Drosophila melanogaster: one gene and its partner. Changing the gene in region 2 together with the main gene of any one other region gives a genetic interaction. Each region holds a gene or a part of one and is shown on either strand. Other genes may lie near its edges.

Region 1 (9,334 bases), on a different chromosome or scaffold from region 2:
AGGCCCATTACAAGGAGGTGGTGCAACGTATGTTTAGTTAGTTCCCATTGATAACATTGCGATGTCGTGTTAACCAATGGTCTTTATAAAATAGCTTATGTTAAATGTACTACTTTGATTTTCTACTCTTTCTGTGGTCAAACTTGGCGCGCTTGTTTTTGGGATCGAACTTGGCTCTCCTGTTCTTGGGGTCGAATTTGTCCTTCTTGTCCTTGCGATCGAACTTGTCCTTACGATCGTACTTGTCCGTGCGCTCAGATTTGTCATTCTTGTCCTTGGTATCCAGTTTAGCGCGCTTGTTCTTGTATTTCATTCCGCCGCCCAAACTAGGCCGCTTTCGGGAGGACTTCGCTTCCATTTTGAACAGTTCTGCAAAGGAAACATTAGTTTATATTCTACGCAGCATGTAGCACAACTCACCTTCGTCTGGTTCCTCGCCGACTTCCTCCTTGTAGTACTCTGCATCATCCTCGGGATCGCTGTCAGTCCGTCCCTCTGCCGCCCTCTTGGCAGCCCATTTTTCATCCTTCTTAAGCTTCAAGTTGCGGGCACGGTTCTCTGCCTGCTCCTTCTTGCGCTGCTCCTTCTGCTTTCGCTTCTTTTCGACCAGCTTGCGCAGGGTTTCCTTTTCGTCCTCTGTCTTGACCACATGGTCGTGATACAGTACTTCGCCCGTCAGAAGGCCCTCTTCTATTTTGATGAGCTGCATGGTTAGTCGAGGTCCGATCTCGTGTAGCTTTATGGAGCTCTTTTTGTCCTCCAAGTTGCCCTTGCTTTTAAGAGTCTGTGCCAGCACCACATGTGATTGCTCATCATCTTCGGCCTCTGATTCGGAGGCATAGCCGTCCCTGAAAATCAATATTATGATTATTTGATGGAATGAGAACAAACGGTCATTTCCTACTTGGTCACAAAGTCCACGACTTCGTTGCACTTGCCCAGATTGGGTACCGTTCCTTTGACGATTTTCTGGACCGCCCGCTTTAAGCCAACCGGCACCACCTGCACGGAGTAGTGCCGCATCTCGACCAGCTTCGTGTCCGGATTGTAGGAGAACAGGACGCAGCGACGAATGGTGCCGATATTAACCGTGGCCAAGTTAATTGAGGGGAACATGTTTTGGAACGTGGTGGCCATCAGCTTAAGGTGCTTGCCATCGCCACTGAAGTTGTTCATGATGACGAGCGGAGCGTGCTTGAAGTGATCGTTGTCAATCATCTGCTTTTTGCTTAGCGAGATCACATCTCTGGCCAGGGTGAACTGGTGAACCTGACAGAGAATAACTTCGCGGTAAAATATCCAGTATAAACTAAGCGATGAAACAAACAAACCTTGAAAGTCAGGGAAGGACCGCGCGGCAAGCGGACCACTTTGAAGGACAGCTGCGTGGAGGCCTTGTTGAAGATGCCCATGTGCGAGACGTGGAAGAAGCTGCTCAGGCTGACAAAGTCCTTGATGCGGTTCATCCGCTTCTCGCGCAGATTGCTGGCCGTAAAGGGCTCCATAATGCGGCGGAAGTCCAGGGTGAGGTCCGTGATGTACGGACAGGCGAGGCCGCGATGGATGACGAAGGAGTGCGGCGCCTCCACGATCTCGCTCGGCTCGCTGGCCTTGAAGGCCGCCGTGCGCGTCTTCGGATGCACTTTCTTCTTACCGCCCATGTTTCAATGTTTTTGTTCACTTTTCTCCCGCACGTGTATGGATCAGTGTGGCTGCTCGCGCGGAAAATACCAAACACCCACTCCGACGTCTGCCTTTGGTCACTCTAATCCCATTTTAAATTTCGATTTTCCGCCCAATTGAAAGCACTTCTGTTTTATTTAAATTATATTTATTTAATCACACTTAACATAGCAAACACAAATGATGTTATTTCGTTTCATTTATGCATTTAAAGTTTTACAACTGTTTTTGTTTGATTTCTCTTTATCAGCTAGTTTTACCAAGTGGCCAATCGTTTAAAATGTTGCGAGAAACCGAAGAAGAAAATCCGAGCTGCAGTGCTGTGGTAATGAATTTGCGTTTAAGTCGAAGAATTTCCGGTTGTTTGTTGTTGTTCTGCTCGCGAAATTACAACTATATATTTATGTTGCGAAAAATTAATAATATTAATATTTTAATATTAGCATATATGTATATTTATATAAATTATAGTTCTACAGCTTAAACTGAATTTGGAGTGTTTAGTTTTGCTTGCTTTCTTTCCGCGGCGGTCGATTTATGCGATACTCATGGATCTGTATATATATAAAACTTCAGTTTAAACCGCAGTTAACTACAGCCGGATGTTGTTGCTTTCGATTCTTTTGCTGCTGCTGCTGCTTCTGATGATGGTGGTGGTGTTGGTGGTGGAGAGTGGCGGCTCAGATTTGAATTATCAATTTATGCGCACATGACAAACTGTGGCTGACAAACGCATAGACATCTTGTGCGGTCCATCGGGTGTACGCTGCTCCTGATCTTGGTGTTGCAGTTCTGGCCGCTGCTGCTCCTCTTGTAGTCGTAGTTGTAATTGCTGTTGCTTCTGTTTATGTTGCTGTTCTGGCGGTTGCGGGGAATAGCGAAAATTGCTTGGGGCGGTCACTGACAGCACTGTTTGCGCACATCGGCGGTGACAGTCGGCTTTACGTCGATGGGCTCCACGTTCGACGGGCGGATGACGTCGCCTTCCGGCGGATCTCTGATCTGTTTCTGCGACACAATGCGATAGATCTCTGAAACGGGATTACGAGACATCATTAGTCGTGCTTCGTTATCATTAATCTATTGACTTTCAATGAAGCGTTTAATCTACAGTATTTAAATATTCTTAAACGATCGATAATTTGAAAGCAGACTAGCTAAAATATCCTGAACGACCCACCTGTGAGTATGTTCTGGAATGCCGTTTCAACGTTCGTTGAGTCGAGGGCCGAGGTTTCTATGAAACTCAAGCCGTTGCGCTCGGCAAACAGCTTCGCCTCGTCCGTGGGCACGGAGCGCAAGTGCCGCAAGTCGGACTTGTTGCCCACCAGCATGATGACGATGTTCTGGTCGGCATGGTCGCGCAATTCCCGCAGCCACCGCTCCACGTTCTCGTAGGTCAGATGCTTGGCAATGTCATAGACGAGCAGGGCCCCCACGGCACCGCGGTAGTAGGCAGAGGTGATGGCGCGATAACGCTCCTGGCCGGCCGTATCCCAGATTTGCGCTTTAATTGTTTTGCCATCGACCTGCGTTGGATGCACAAGAAGGATGAAACAAAGGACAGCATTAGAATGGTGCCAGTAATTGGCAATTTCGCCACGAAATGCCTGCGGCGCATTCGCTTTGAAAATTAATATACAAGCACTGGCATTCAGTATTCACACATAACCAACATAAATTAGAGCTTATGGATAAGCTTTTAACTCTAGTAAGAGAACCCAATTTTTGAAATTTCTTACACTAGTTAGAAAAAACGCAAGTAGCGTAAGTTATATTCATTGAACCCATTTGATATACTAAATATTAAGATGACCTACTAAGCTACTTCGAAAAGATGGCACAAAGTATTGTTTAACACAAATCCTTATACATACGTAATATATAATTGTTATTGACCACATAAATTTATTATTTCAGCACAAGTGACAACTATGATGTCAACATTTTGGCTAATCCCGTAGGATGGCTTTTGAAATTATGCAAGAAAGCCAATTGGCAATCCATTATTTAGTGAAATTCTCGACACTTACTCAAATTGAACAAACTTTTCCCCCCAATTTTCCGATAGACGCCTCAACTACGTGTCCTCCCACCGAAACGCACACGCAAGTTCACCCGTGACTTCCCCCACTGTGGGTGCGGTGCGGTAGATGTGTGGGGGTGGAGCTCCATGGGCCACTCCACCCTCGAATTCTTGGCCAGCGTACTCACCTCTATGCTGCGCGTTGCAAACTCAACGCCAATCGTCGACTTGGACTCCAAGTTGAATTCATTGCGCGTGAAACGTGAGAGCAAATTACTTTTGCCAACACCGGAGTCACCGATAAGGACAACTGCAAAGGATTAGAGGGAATTAGTGACATCGACATTGGCATTGGATAATCGAAGACCCCCAGTTGCATAATTTATGTGGGTGTGTGGTGTGGCGTGGCGTGGCATGGCCCCTGTCTTGTGTTTTACGGCCGGACAGAATGGTCGCTGGTGGCCCGGCTAGGTCATGTCCTCCTTTCGCCGCTGGCACGGCGCACCAAGGTCAGCGAGTACATAAAACCGCCATGCTCGGGGGATTTCAGGCCATGGAAAGAAATGTTTTATGATTGGGCCAGTCGACGTTAGGGAGTTCGTGTTATTGTGCTTCATTGCCGATAGCAAACATTTCTTGGATAATTGAGTGGCGGATATTTGAGGGAGCAAACAAGCATCCCAAGTTGATATGCTACCCGATAAAAACTATCCACTGACCTTTTTACGACTCCATTTCTTTTTGATAAACTTTCTTATGTGCGGCCAGAGTTGTTGGCTATAATATATATTAACTGATATCTAGACACTGTGTTTACTGACTGTCTGTCTATTAGTTTCCATTTTTGACACCCTTTTCGGACATTGTTGATTCAGCATGTTTGCTAATCCATTCAGAAAACAACAACTATAACTCATCAAACACCTTTTCGCTCTATCGCTATGGTCATCGCTGCACGGAGAAAATTCAAATAGTAAAATGGTATCATATGAACACTGATTCTTGAGTTCGAAGTTTCGATTGCAATGCCATTAAGATAGGAACTAAATATTTGAAACGACTTTTGAGCTAAGTCCAAGTTTTTGACTTAATTTAGATAGCTAAATTAGAGGGTATAGGGTTTTCTTTCAGTGTGGACAGCTGGGAGCAGCGTGGTTACAGTTATCAGCGAGAGAGCTGAGTCACTTTGTTTTCTACTCTCTTTCTCAGCGCTAATAACGATCTTTAAAGAGAAATTGCACTTAGTTAAGCGGATGCGATGAGAAATTAAAAGGGGAGGAGTGGTAATCGACGGTCATTACTTAGTAGTGGGATTGGCTCGAATAACCCGAAACGGCCCATTTTCAGTTATGTGATTATGCGCTTATCGGTGAGTGGAATTCTTCAGCAGTTATTGGCTGTGAGTCATGTCCGTTTAATATTGTTTCATGTGTGAAATTTGAGGCCTCATCATGCATACCGCACACTGACGCATTATTATGATGACTTTTTTTTTAACTTTTTGTATACTTGACCCAAAAAATACGGCAGATTAAGTTTTAAATATTTTTTTAATGACATTCAACAGTTGCTCAGCTGTGATAGCTAGCAGAGATTTCCAAGCGCAATTGGAATTTATGGCGTAGTAGCAAACGAAGGGAACAAAGAAGAGCTGAGAATTTGTGACCTCTGTTCATACATATCTACACATAAACGGGGGAAGATGCGGGATAAAAGTCTTGTTTTCTACCTGCAAATACATCATTTTGCTCTACTGTGCTTCAAACTTTCAATCGAGAGCGGGTGAAAAAGAGAGCGCGCGTGAGAGAGAGCTACTAAACGAAGTTACAAGAAACCATTGCAAAAGCCAGCTGTACAGAAATCATAATACCCACACTCTCGCTCTATTTACTGGATATCTAATCACTTTAGCATTTCGAGTGGGTGGGCAAGCCTTAAACCTACTTTACAGAGCGAGCGATTATAAATACGATCTGCTTGGCTTTTGTATGCAACGTGGCGAGACCAACGGCACTGTAATGACAAAACAAGCAGTTAACGGCAAAGTACGCGTACTCCAGTCCGAAAGAGTACCCCAAAGAGATGGAGATAGGCAGAGTGAGAGCGGGAGAGCCACCAAAGGGCATCCAACTGCAGCAGTAGCAACAACAACAAACTCGGGGGGCGTACTTCTTATTTTGGGAATTAATGACACTCACGCAAACAAACACACCACATACCATCACATGAACTTTGGGCTCTTCGAGTGCACTTTTTGTTATTCTCCAATTAGTTTCAATTAGTGCTATTGAACCACTGTCTCTCACGGCAGGGAGAGGAGAGCCTGGAAGTGCGGCTCCTCCCCTCCTGATCAACCTTCCGCGATCTTCGACCAGCGGCTAGTATCATGTTTATAATTACCTTTGAACAGATAATCGTACTCGTCTTCTCTTGCACCCATTTTGCTCAATTTGTTTTGCTATCGCTCGCTCGGTTCGATATCCTTTGGAAATCCAGTTCCGTCCTTTTTGTTTTGTGTGTGCGGGTGCTAAACGAAATCCAATAATCCCTGCGCGCCGCCGATTTCTTTAATGCGTTTGTCGTCGGCTCACACACTTTACACTTTTATTTGCAGTTGTAGTTGTAAAGAAAGAGAAAAGTGTATATATCAGTATTTAAGTGGCGAAATCGGTTGCTCTTCCAGCTCGGATGCGTTCGAAAATGCTGGCAGGACTTTTCCGGCAATTGGAGCAGTATTAATTGGAGATTTGCAGCTGCTTGCAGCGCATTTATTTGCAATTTTCTCTTACACGAAAACTTAGTCACTCCCAATAACGTCACGTTATATTTCCAACGAGACTAGAGATGTTGAAAAATATCGGTACATCGACATTATTTCGGCGATACTTATCGATTTTCTTAATGGCGATGTAAGGCGATAGTACAATGTCACTTCTATTTTTGTTTATATGAACATTGTTTTATACTCAAAAGCTTTAGAATTAGAATTAAATTTTTTCATAATTAAAACACATTAGGTCTAGAAAATAAATCTAATGTTTGTTTCCTATTTAAAAAACTTATTTGTTTTATTTTAAAACACCAACATACTTATATCATTATCGATGTTTTCACATCGACTTGCATCACTAAATTAACGAGATGGATGTTTTAGAGTTACCAGACGGTACGACGAATTATCATGAACTGCTCTCGTTTCATCCCGACAAGCCTATCGTATTTTAAAAAAGCTGAACACATTTTCTAGGGATTATCCCTAGCCCATTTAACTTATTTCCAACTCAAAATGTCTTGAATACTTAAAACGTTCCAACCTAAACAGAATCGTTCTCCCAGTAGCAGTAACTGTTTCTAATATTATCTTATTAAAAAAATTAATTAAATAGAAAACATTTCGATCCCAAGTAAAAACCCCCTGCTTACAAATCAGAGTAAAAATGTGTTTATTTTAATATAAAATACTTGTAAAAAACGATAAATTAAGTATAATGTGCAGCTAATACTTCCGTTGATCTCTAGTGAGTTTAAAAACTCTATTCCTATTGCACTTAAATGCGAGCGCGTTGCAAGGCCATGGCTGGATAAATGAGCAGAAGTCCGCCGGCTATATAGGTGATCCTGGAGCCAACGCACCAGAAGGCTATTAAGGATTAAAGAGTTTAGAAAAGGTATAATCCTAAGACAGCTGAGGAGCTCACCAATGCATCCCACCACGGGGCCCAGAGCTCGAGCCAAAGCTCCCAGTGAGCGGAATATGCCCAGTACTGAACCCTTCTGGTCATCGTTTCCGTATTTGGATACGAGGGTGGTCAGACAGGTGACAGCGAAGGCTGTGGAGATTGCGAACAGGGTCATGCCGGCGTACAGCATCCGACTGCCCTCGGCTAGGCCGACTACTACGAAGGCGGGTACAATCAGGTACAAACTGAAGATGGCATAGCCTTTGATCTTCGCCTCGGGCAGCCGTCGGACCACCGATCCCTGCAGCAAAGTCATGATTACACCTAGAAAAAGACACAAATTTGATAGGGAATATTGTAGATTATCAACTTGCTCCATACCCGTTGTCAAAAACATCTTCGCCTGATCCATCGAAGTGTAACCGAATTTGTGGTACATCAGAAATGTGACGGTGAACTCCAAGCCGGAATACAGAAAGAGATACAAGAAGTATACCAGGCCAATGGATCGCAGTGCCGCAATGTCTTTCTTAGGCACATTTTTGATGGCAGCAAATCTGTCAGTGGGAGAATTCTTTTGAAATATGATTGTAAAATCCAGACATAATCATTGGTAATAATCTTCTAGCTAACTGGACTCAATTCCCTGTAACTACAATTAATCAAAAGCAATCTAGAATTTACTAACTGATAAGGCAATCAAACAAACGTGTCCGAGAACCCGGCATGATAATAGTGTCTATCAAACCAGTCAGGCAAGTCCGGGTGGCTTGCAGTTCTCACCGTATGACGATTTCGATTTGATCACACGACAGGTTTTCGAGACATGCTAATTAAAACATTGAATTACCTAAATATGGCCGAAAAATTGAGCAACTGCAGGCCATAAGACAGTGCAGATGATATCTCCTTAACACGTTTCTCCTGCGAAAAGGTCAAACAATTAATGGTGTTGGGAATATATTTAATTTAGCCAACCGTACGCACCTTGGGCAACGTTTCCCGCAGACAGCAGGCCAGGACCACAAGATCTCCAACTGCCAGGCCAAACGCCAGCAGAGAGGGCAACACAAACCAAGTACTTCCACTTTTATCGGAGAATATGGCGAACAGGGCTCCAATCATGGGCCCCACAATAAAGCCCAGCGAGAAGGCCACACCCACAAGGGCCATACCGCGTCCACGGGTCTTAACGCTGGACACATCCGTAATGACGGACATGCACAGGGATATGTTGCCCTTGCTAATTCCGCCCACGAAGCGGGCCAAAACGAACAGGGCAAAGTTGCTGGAGCAGGCCCAGATCAGATAGGATAACGCAATACCACTCTATAGATGAAAGAAGACGTAGCTTAAGGAAGGTTTACTTATTTGTGGCTTAGCTAAGGAGTTTGAATTTGACGAATTCCACGCTTTTGGATTGAACTCGTAATAGCATGAAATGTTGACCAAGCCAAAAAGAAAACTAACAAGACTAGTTTAGTGTTTAGTGCACATTAAAGCATTGAGCACTGGGATTACCTACCGCACAAGCCAGCAGGACTGGTTTCCGTCCGTAGTAGTCCGAGAGTCCTCCGACAATCGGACTGGCCACGAACTGCAGGAAGCTGAACATGGAGCCGAGAAAGCCTCCGAATAGCACCGATATGTAGCGATCCGGGGCGCCCAGGAGCTGCTGGAACCAGCGCACCCGATCCGTGAGCACGGCATACAAGCCGGAGCTGTCGTTCTGGCGATAGTGCTCCAACAGCGAGGGCAGCAGCGGCAGAATGATGGTGAAGGCCAGTAAGTCGAAGAGCAGCGATACGAAGATTATGTATATCATGGGATCACTCTTCTCCGGCTTTCCATTCTCCGATGCTTCCTTATCCAGCGCTTTATTGTTGTTGTGATGGTGGCTTCCGGTTTGGCTGTGGCTTTGCTTCTCCATGGCAGCGGTTCCATT
Region 2 (6,474 bases):
CAATCATATATTTTTTATAAAATTCTATTTAGTGTATTAAAAATCTAGTCGGTGTAGAGCATTTCACAACGACTATATTTCCTATTTTAGTTACTTTTCGTATTTGGCAAGCCTCTCATTTTCTCTTCAGCAGCTGATTTTGTTTGTATACAAAAATCATATTGCAATATATATATACTGAAAAGGAGAGAGAACAAAAGGTAAATAAATACAGAGTGGAAAAGGGGAAGAAAGAGATGAATGGAAACGAAAATGGAAGTGGAAAAAAGCCACAAAAGCTTAATTTGTGGTTTTTAAAAAAGTTATAACTTATATGCATTAAAGGCAAAGTCATAAAAACTAGAATTTAATATGTTTTAATATATTTTGTGGTTTTTAAAAATTTATGTACCTGATAATTGATACAACAGCGCTACAGCATATTAGGGAAAATAAGGACATAAGGTGTAATTAAATAATATGACACATATTTCTATACAGATAAGTGTCTTTTACATAGAAAGTATATAAAACTATTTAAAAAACGAGAGTAAAAAAAAAACAATTTTTAATCTTGGCGGCTAAATAACTAAAAATAAGCCCTGGTCGATTAATTTATTTGCGCTATCGATAAGAGCCCGCTGAAAAAAATCGAAGAAAAATCGGGCAGTTTTCCAGCTCTAGCAAAAACACACGTGTTTACGTTTTTAGCAAATTGAACGCAATTTCTTTACTTCTTTGACTTTTTCTGGTATTACTTAATATCCGACTACCGAAATGGGCAGAAACAATCGCTCGAGAAAGCGTCGTGATGAAATGAATAAGATAAAGAAGGCGCGGTACGAAGCCAAGGAGTTAATTCGACTGAAGAAAACTCTGGGACTCCTAGATGCCGATGGAAATGAGATCATGAAGGATATAAGCGATGTGGTCGAAATTAAGACCGCCAAGGAGCTCAAAAGGGTTAGTTATGTGATATACCCACCTACAAATATACCAATTTACCTAATGTATTATATGTATTGTATGCATGTAATATGCGAAAAACCGGCTTAGTTTATCGCGATACTACCTTCATTCTTGTTACGTATTTTATATCCTTATTAAAGAAGAAATTGTATTCCTAAAACAGGAGGCCAAATCCAAGGAGGAGCAGGAATTGATCTACGAGCACCAGGAGAGTCTGGAGAAGGGCGAGAAAGTCAAGGTGACCAACGAGAACACGGGCGTGGAGCACATTTTCAACAGCAAGACCCTCAAAGATCAGTACGGCAATTATCCTGCGTGGTTCAAGAAGAAGAAGACCGCCAAGCGTCTAAGAAAGAAGCAGCACTCGCAGAAGAAGAACTTCAAACAGGCCTGGACCACGGTTAATGTTCCCCTATAAATCCGGGGCTGGGTTACCCATCTGGTATCTTATCGTAGTTTATAAGTCCTCGCTTAGTTTAGGAGATTTTGTAGGCTTTTTCTACAAAGATGTTATAGCTAAGAGTATATATTGCATATTAAAGCCCAAACAAGTTCTGAAAAACCCAGATATAGTCTGAACTTCTCAACATGGCAATCAAATAGTATCATTACTTTTTTAAAGCTACGAGTTATTATTGCATATTAAAGCCTTAAAATCTACACACATTTGCGGTGTCATGTGAACAACAAGTATCCAACGCTTAAACTAAAGTGCAGTTACATTATGCTCATTAGCTCTATTGCACGTGGAAAATCACAAAATGGGGATATTGAACTAAAATCGTGGTCAAATTTCTACTGAACGGAACAATAGCTGCGCACGCTGCAAATCACTCCGTTGGTGGCTGCCTCCAAACGTCGTGTGTTCGCCGACCATATGTGCGTGGTGGCCAGAGCCGTGGATGCGGATCGGGCACTTCCTCCTGCGGGTCATTCTGGCTTCTCTTTTAGCTCCAGTCTCTCAGTTGACTCGCTATCCGGTTCCACCTGCTCCTCCTCGATGTTGCCATGCATTACATTGGGATTGGCCTTTAGCACAGAGCCACCGGTGAAGCCGAGGATGCCACATCCTACTGCCGCCAATCCTCCAGCTTTCATGCCCGCCACCAGACCAATGGGTCCTCCCACACAGGTGCCCAGAAGAGCTCCGACTACGGGGTACATGGCCTTCTTGTAGGTGAGCGCCCGGCGCAGATTCAATTCGCCCTGCTGGACATTCTCCAGAGCTTCCTCCGCATTGTCTGCTATCTTTTCCACCGCCACTGATTGCTCTGCAGTCAGTTGACGCATTCCCTGGAACATCCCGTGCAGATCGTAGATCTCCTGTTGCAGGTTCTCCATCTGATCCAGGCAGGCTTGCCTCTGCGCCAATTGGTGTTCCTCCAGCTGGAAATTGAGTTGCAGCTGGGGCATGTGGCGGTGTGCGGGTAGACTGTTCATATCCACCTCCTGTGGCTGATTGTCCAGATCGTCGTCGTACTGAGAACTCAAAGTGGAGGTGGGTGATTTGAGTTGGAGCTCTAAAAATACAGTAGGTGTGTTGGTAAAGCCGAAAGAATTTAGATGGCATTTCAAACTTACCCGCAAATTCCTTCATGCCAGCGAAGGCAGTATCCCTGCCAGGTTTCATTAGGTCGTCGAAACGTTCCAGATCCTCCTCCCGTACTTTTTCTCGCAGTGCATCCATTTCCAGAAGTAGATTCTTGATCTGCTTAATGACCCTCATAGCATTGAGTTCCTCCTTTTTGATTTTTTGCCAGTCGCCGAGCGCCAGGCTTTTTTCTATATTGCTGCGATGGTTTTTCAGTAGGCTCAGATGGTGGGGCACCTATGAGTGTTAAGGAATTAGTTCCGCTCTTCAGAAGATATAGTAAATAACCTACCGCCACATCCTGAAACCTTTGGATGGAGACCTCCGCCTGTTTAAGTGGCAGTTTCTCATCGCGCGTCATCGTGAACTGAATACTTTGAACTCGCAGCGCTTTGATTTTTAATCAGTTTTAATTGTGGTAAAAGTGAAATCTGGGGGATCAGTTTCTGTAACACCCCCCGCCCCTTTTTAACGATGGACCTTGCTTAACAGATTTCCCTGGTTTTTCTGCGCAGTTTTTGCTTTGTTTTGCCAGTGACGTCACTGCTTGCTTTTCGGGATGTTTCCAGTGAGTAGTGCTTTGTTGTTGTGAATGAAACTACGGTGGCATGGTTCCAATCATGCTGGTCTTGTCCCCTATATTTATACTGATAATAATTCTATTGTGCAGTCCAATTATTTGTTTGTTATTGGTGATAGAGATGGCAATCAGTTCGATACTAGCGAATATTGCGCAGCCTTGCCCACACTCGATATTATTCTTACAGTTATCGATTGTCTCCGCTGGTGGGAATCCCCGCTAAAAGGTCAGCTTACAGCCGAGGTCATAAAAATAGTTGTTGACTCACCATTATTGCATTTAAAAGGAAAAATAACCAAATTTTATGTTGCGCGTTAAGTTGTAGCCAATATATAAAAGTAAATATTGCAGCACTTTACCTTTTTTTTCATGATAACTTCCAGATAAATAGATTTCCTTTGTTAAATATCCCATGAAAGACCCATTAAAATCAGAAAATGCATTTATTCGTGCAGTGATTTCTCATATACATTAAAATTATATACAGATACATGCAGAAACTAATCACTGCACCACCCACATGAAGAGCGGTGCAGAGTGCGGTGGTGCGCTTACGTCTAAAACTTCACATCTCGATACATTTATGACACACGTTCTCGCTTAAGTACTAATAGCCCGATCCGTGGGCTAATTCTACAGACTACAGAGGCACTCGACTCGCATTCGGGAATGGCTTACAAGCAGGAGCATCTAGCTACACATGAACGGAGTGGTCAATTAAGTTAACTAACATTTAATAATAGCGTGGGGAAATGCAGTTCTGTTTAGGGGCAATTGGCATTGGGGCCATTCCGGCACTTCAGCAGCAGGTTCAGCATACCCTCCAGCTTGTTCGTCCGGGACTCTGTCTTGTAGAGATTCGTCTGCAGTCGACTGACATCCTGAGCCTGCTTTTCCTGAGGGCATACGAAGTAATCGTTAAAGTATGAATATTCAAATATAGAAGTTCAACTCTAATCCTTACCAGCGTGCTTAGCCGACTCTTGAGTGTGTCCACCACACTGTAGGTGGCCTGCAGCGACTTTTGCAGCTCGTTCGTGTGCACTCGCTCATTGGCCAAGGACTTTTCGATCTTCTGGAGTCGCGTGGCCACCTCCGCGTCCGTATCATCGATATCGTTCTCCAGATCCCGAGCCTCGAACGCATCGTCCGCATTCGTGGACACCTTCTTGCAGCTCTGCTGATCCGACTGGAGAACGAATCCCTGACGGCAGCGGCAGAAGTAAGATCCATGCGTATTGATGCACTGTTGATCGCATGGCTTCTCCGTCTGGCACTCGTCCACATCCTGCTCGCAGAAACGTCCTGTGAAACCAGTTGGACAGCTGCAGGTGCTAGGAGCCGTACAATTGCCACCGTTTTGGCAGCGCGCGGAGCAAATAGCTGTAAATAATTAGAAGATAAAAATATTCCAAATTCATTGCAATCTATGTATTTTGTTTAAGACTCACGTTTCATGCACGAATCCGACCTTGGGTTTTCCCGGCTCCATCCCGTGCAGCAGTCGTAGGTCATCTGCTGGGCGGTCTTGTGATCGATGACGTCCCTGTAGGCCTGCTCGTGGACCACCTGCACCCTGGTGCACTTCTGGCCACTAAAGGTGGGCGGCTGGCAGGGCGTGGCCACGTGCTTCCAGGTGGGACGACTGTAGACCTCCGTTCGCTTCACGGGCATCGTAACCGTTCGCTGTTGCATGCAAATGTGCCGCCTGCAATGAGTAGCAAGGAAAACAAACCAGAGCGAGGTGTGAATCGAATAGGATTGGAATGGATTCGAGCGGTGTGGCTGACCCAAATCAGCGGCTCATCATCTGCAAAAGTGAAACTGACTTTTCCAGACGACTTCGCCCAATTACAGTCATAACGACACAGAGCGGCCAACAGGTTGTTTTTAGGAGTGGGATCTGGGCAATTGTCACATGTGTCTGGAAGTGCCAGCGGATTGGATTGGATTGGATTCGATTGGACTGGACTACGATATTAGCGTGTTCGCGTATCTGCGATGACAAACACGACACGCTCCCAGCCGATGACTTGCAGCCATGTCAGCCATGTCATTTGTTTGCCCGCCACTCGGACTCGGATATGGAGGAGCAGCCAGATGGCAGTTTGGCAGCCTGGCAGCCTATCAGCCTGGCAACCAAGTGCTCCAGTTCACGCAACCGACAGTTCAGTGGCTGTCAAACCAAATTTGAAGGCTTGTCAAACTGTTGACAGAAATATCACAAGGATATTCCATATTAGTTGTTATCCAATTCGGTTGCCTTGTGCAACAAATTCAAATTTAGCAATTTTTTCCAGCGAAAAATGTATGTACTTCTAACTCAAAAAAAGGTAACCAATTTAATGTTTTAAAGGATAAAAATCAGACTAAAAGTAATTTTTTTAAAATGTTTATATATTAGCCAATATTTCTATTGAACATAATATTTTCAGCATTTAGATCCTTACCAGGAATTTTTCGGAACTAACGCTGTAGCCGTTGTTTTATTACAAATTTAAGCCCATAAGAGCATTTGAAGTTTTTACTACTCAAGTACAATCCCAACTTCACACTTTATAATAAATCTTTATATATGACCCTGTGCCTCTCAAACCCAGCCAAAATCCAATAACCGAAGTGCCAATGCTCCTAAGACCTTTGGCCCCCAAGCAGTCAAACATAAAAAGCGCTGATAATAAGCGGTTTTTGATTTTGGTTGCCAAAAAACGAGGCAAACTGGCCCAAAAGCGAGGTGCATCCCATAAATTGGCAGGCTGTGGGGCTGCGAATAAACGCTGCTGTTTGATGCAGCACTTACTGCTGCTGCAGTTACTGCTGCTGCAGTTGCTGCTGCTGATGTTGCTGCTGCAGCAACTGATGCTGGTGGTGGCTGATGGTGTCGTAATTGGCAATGCGGGCCAAAAACAATTGCGAACGCGTGACGTGGCCACTGAGTGACGACTGACTGCTGCGATCGTTGGTTGGTCTTTTTGCTGGCCATTTGGCTGGCCAAAATTTCGCGATTTAAAAGCGGAAAGTGGCACACAGTTGGCCACAATGGTCCTGCGACCGGGACATTTACCAATTTCTTTATTGCCGCGCATGCATATTTATGCCCTGTTCTTTCTTGGGTTTTTTCCCTGTATGTTGCTTGCTGTAACTGGCTTCTCTTGTACCATAATTCTCACGTTATTTATGCGCCAGCATTCTGAGCGTTAAGGGCGCCAAACAAAGCCAAAACCAAAGATACTGGCCTCCATTTCCAGCGAAAACAATAACAAGAACGGCTAAATAAAATGCGGAAGTCTTCTCCCGAAAAGCAGAAACTGTGCCAGCAGCAAAGTGCAACATGGAATGCTCATTCCCATTTCCA

Evidence for each region. Genes that interact genetically often act in the same process or in processes that back each other up.
Region 1: of Syx17 (region 2) and Rab11, changing one suppresses a phenotype caused by changing the other (phenotypic suppression), as found in Drosophila melanogaster (one study listed by BioGRID).

What each region holds. Positions count from the first base shown.
Region 1 is NT_033777.3:21,108,631-21,117,964, reverse strand, and holds Rab11 (Rab11), read right to left. Parts: upstream 6,558-9,334; 5' UTR 6,150-6,557; coding exon 6,110-6,149; intron 4,020-6,109; coding exon 3,898-4,019; intron 3,213-3,897; coding exon 2,864-3,212; intron 2,715-2,863; coding exon 2,581-2,714; 3' UTR 1,819-2,580; downstream 1-1,818. Other genes in the region: Bdbt (bride of doubletime), read left to right, coding at 1-41; ppan (peter pan), read right to left, coding at 110-369, 421-848, 905-1,269, 1,332-1,661; rtet (tetracycline resistance), read right to left, coding at 7,258-7,349, 7,408-7,713, 7,771-7,946, 8,240-8,313, 8,377-8,718, 8,915-9,334.
Region 2 is NT_037436.4:4,400,253-4,406,726, reverse strand, and holds Syx17 (syntaxin 17), read right to left. Parts: upstream 3,241-6,474; 5' UTR 2,901-3,240; coding exon 2,832-2,900; intron 2,777-2,831; coding exon 2,530-2,776; intron 2,469-2,529; coding exon 1,879-2,468; coding exon of another isoform or gene 1,744-1,878; 3' UTR 1,559-1,743; downstream 1-1,558. Other genes in the region: CG15019 (uncharacterized protein), read left to right, coding at 757-942, 1,112-1,366; slow (slowdown), read right to left, coding at 3,884-4,015, 4,084-4,502, 4,571-4,827.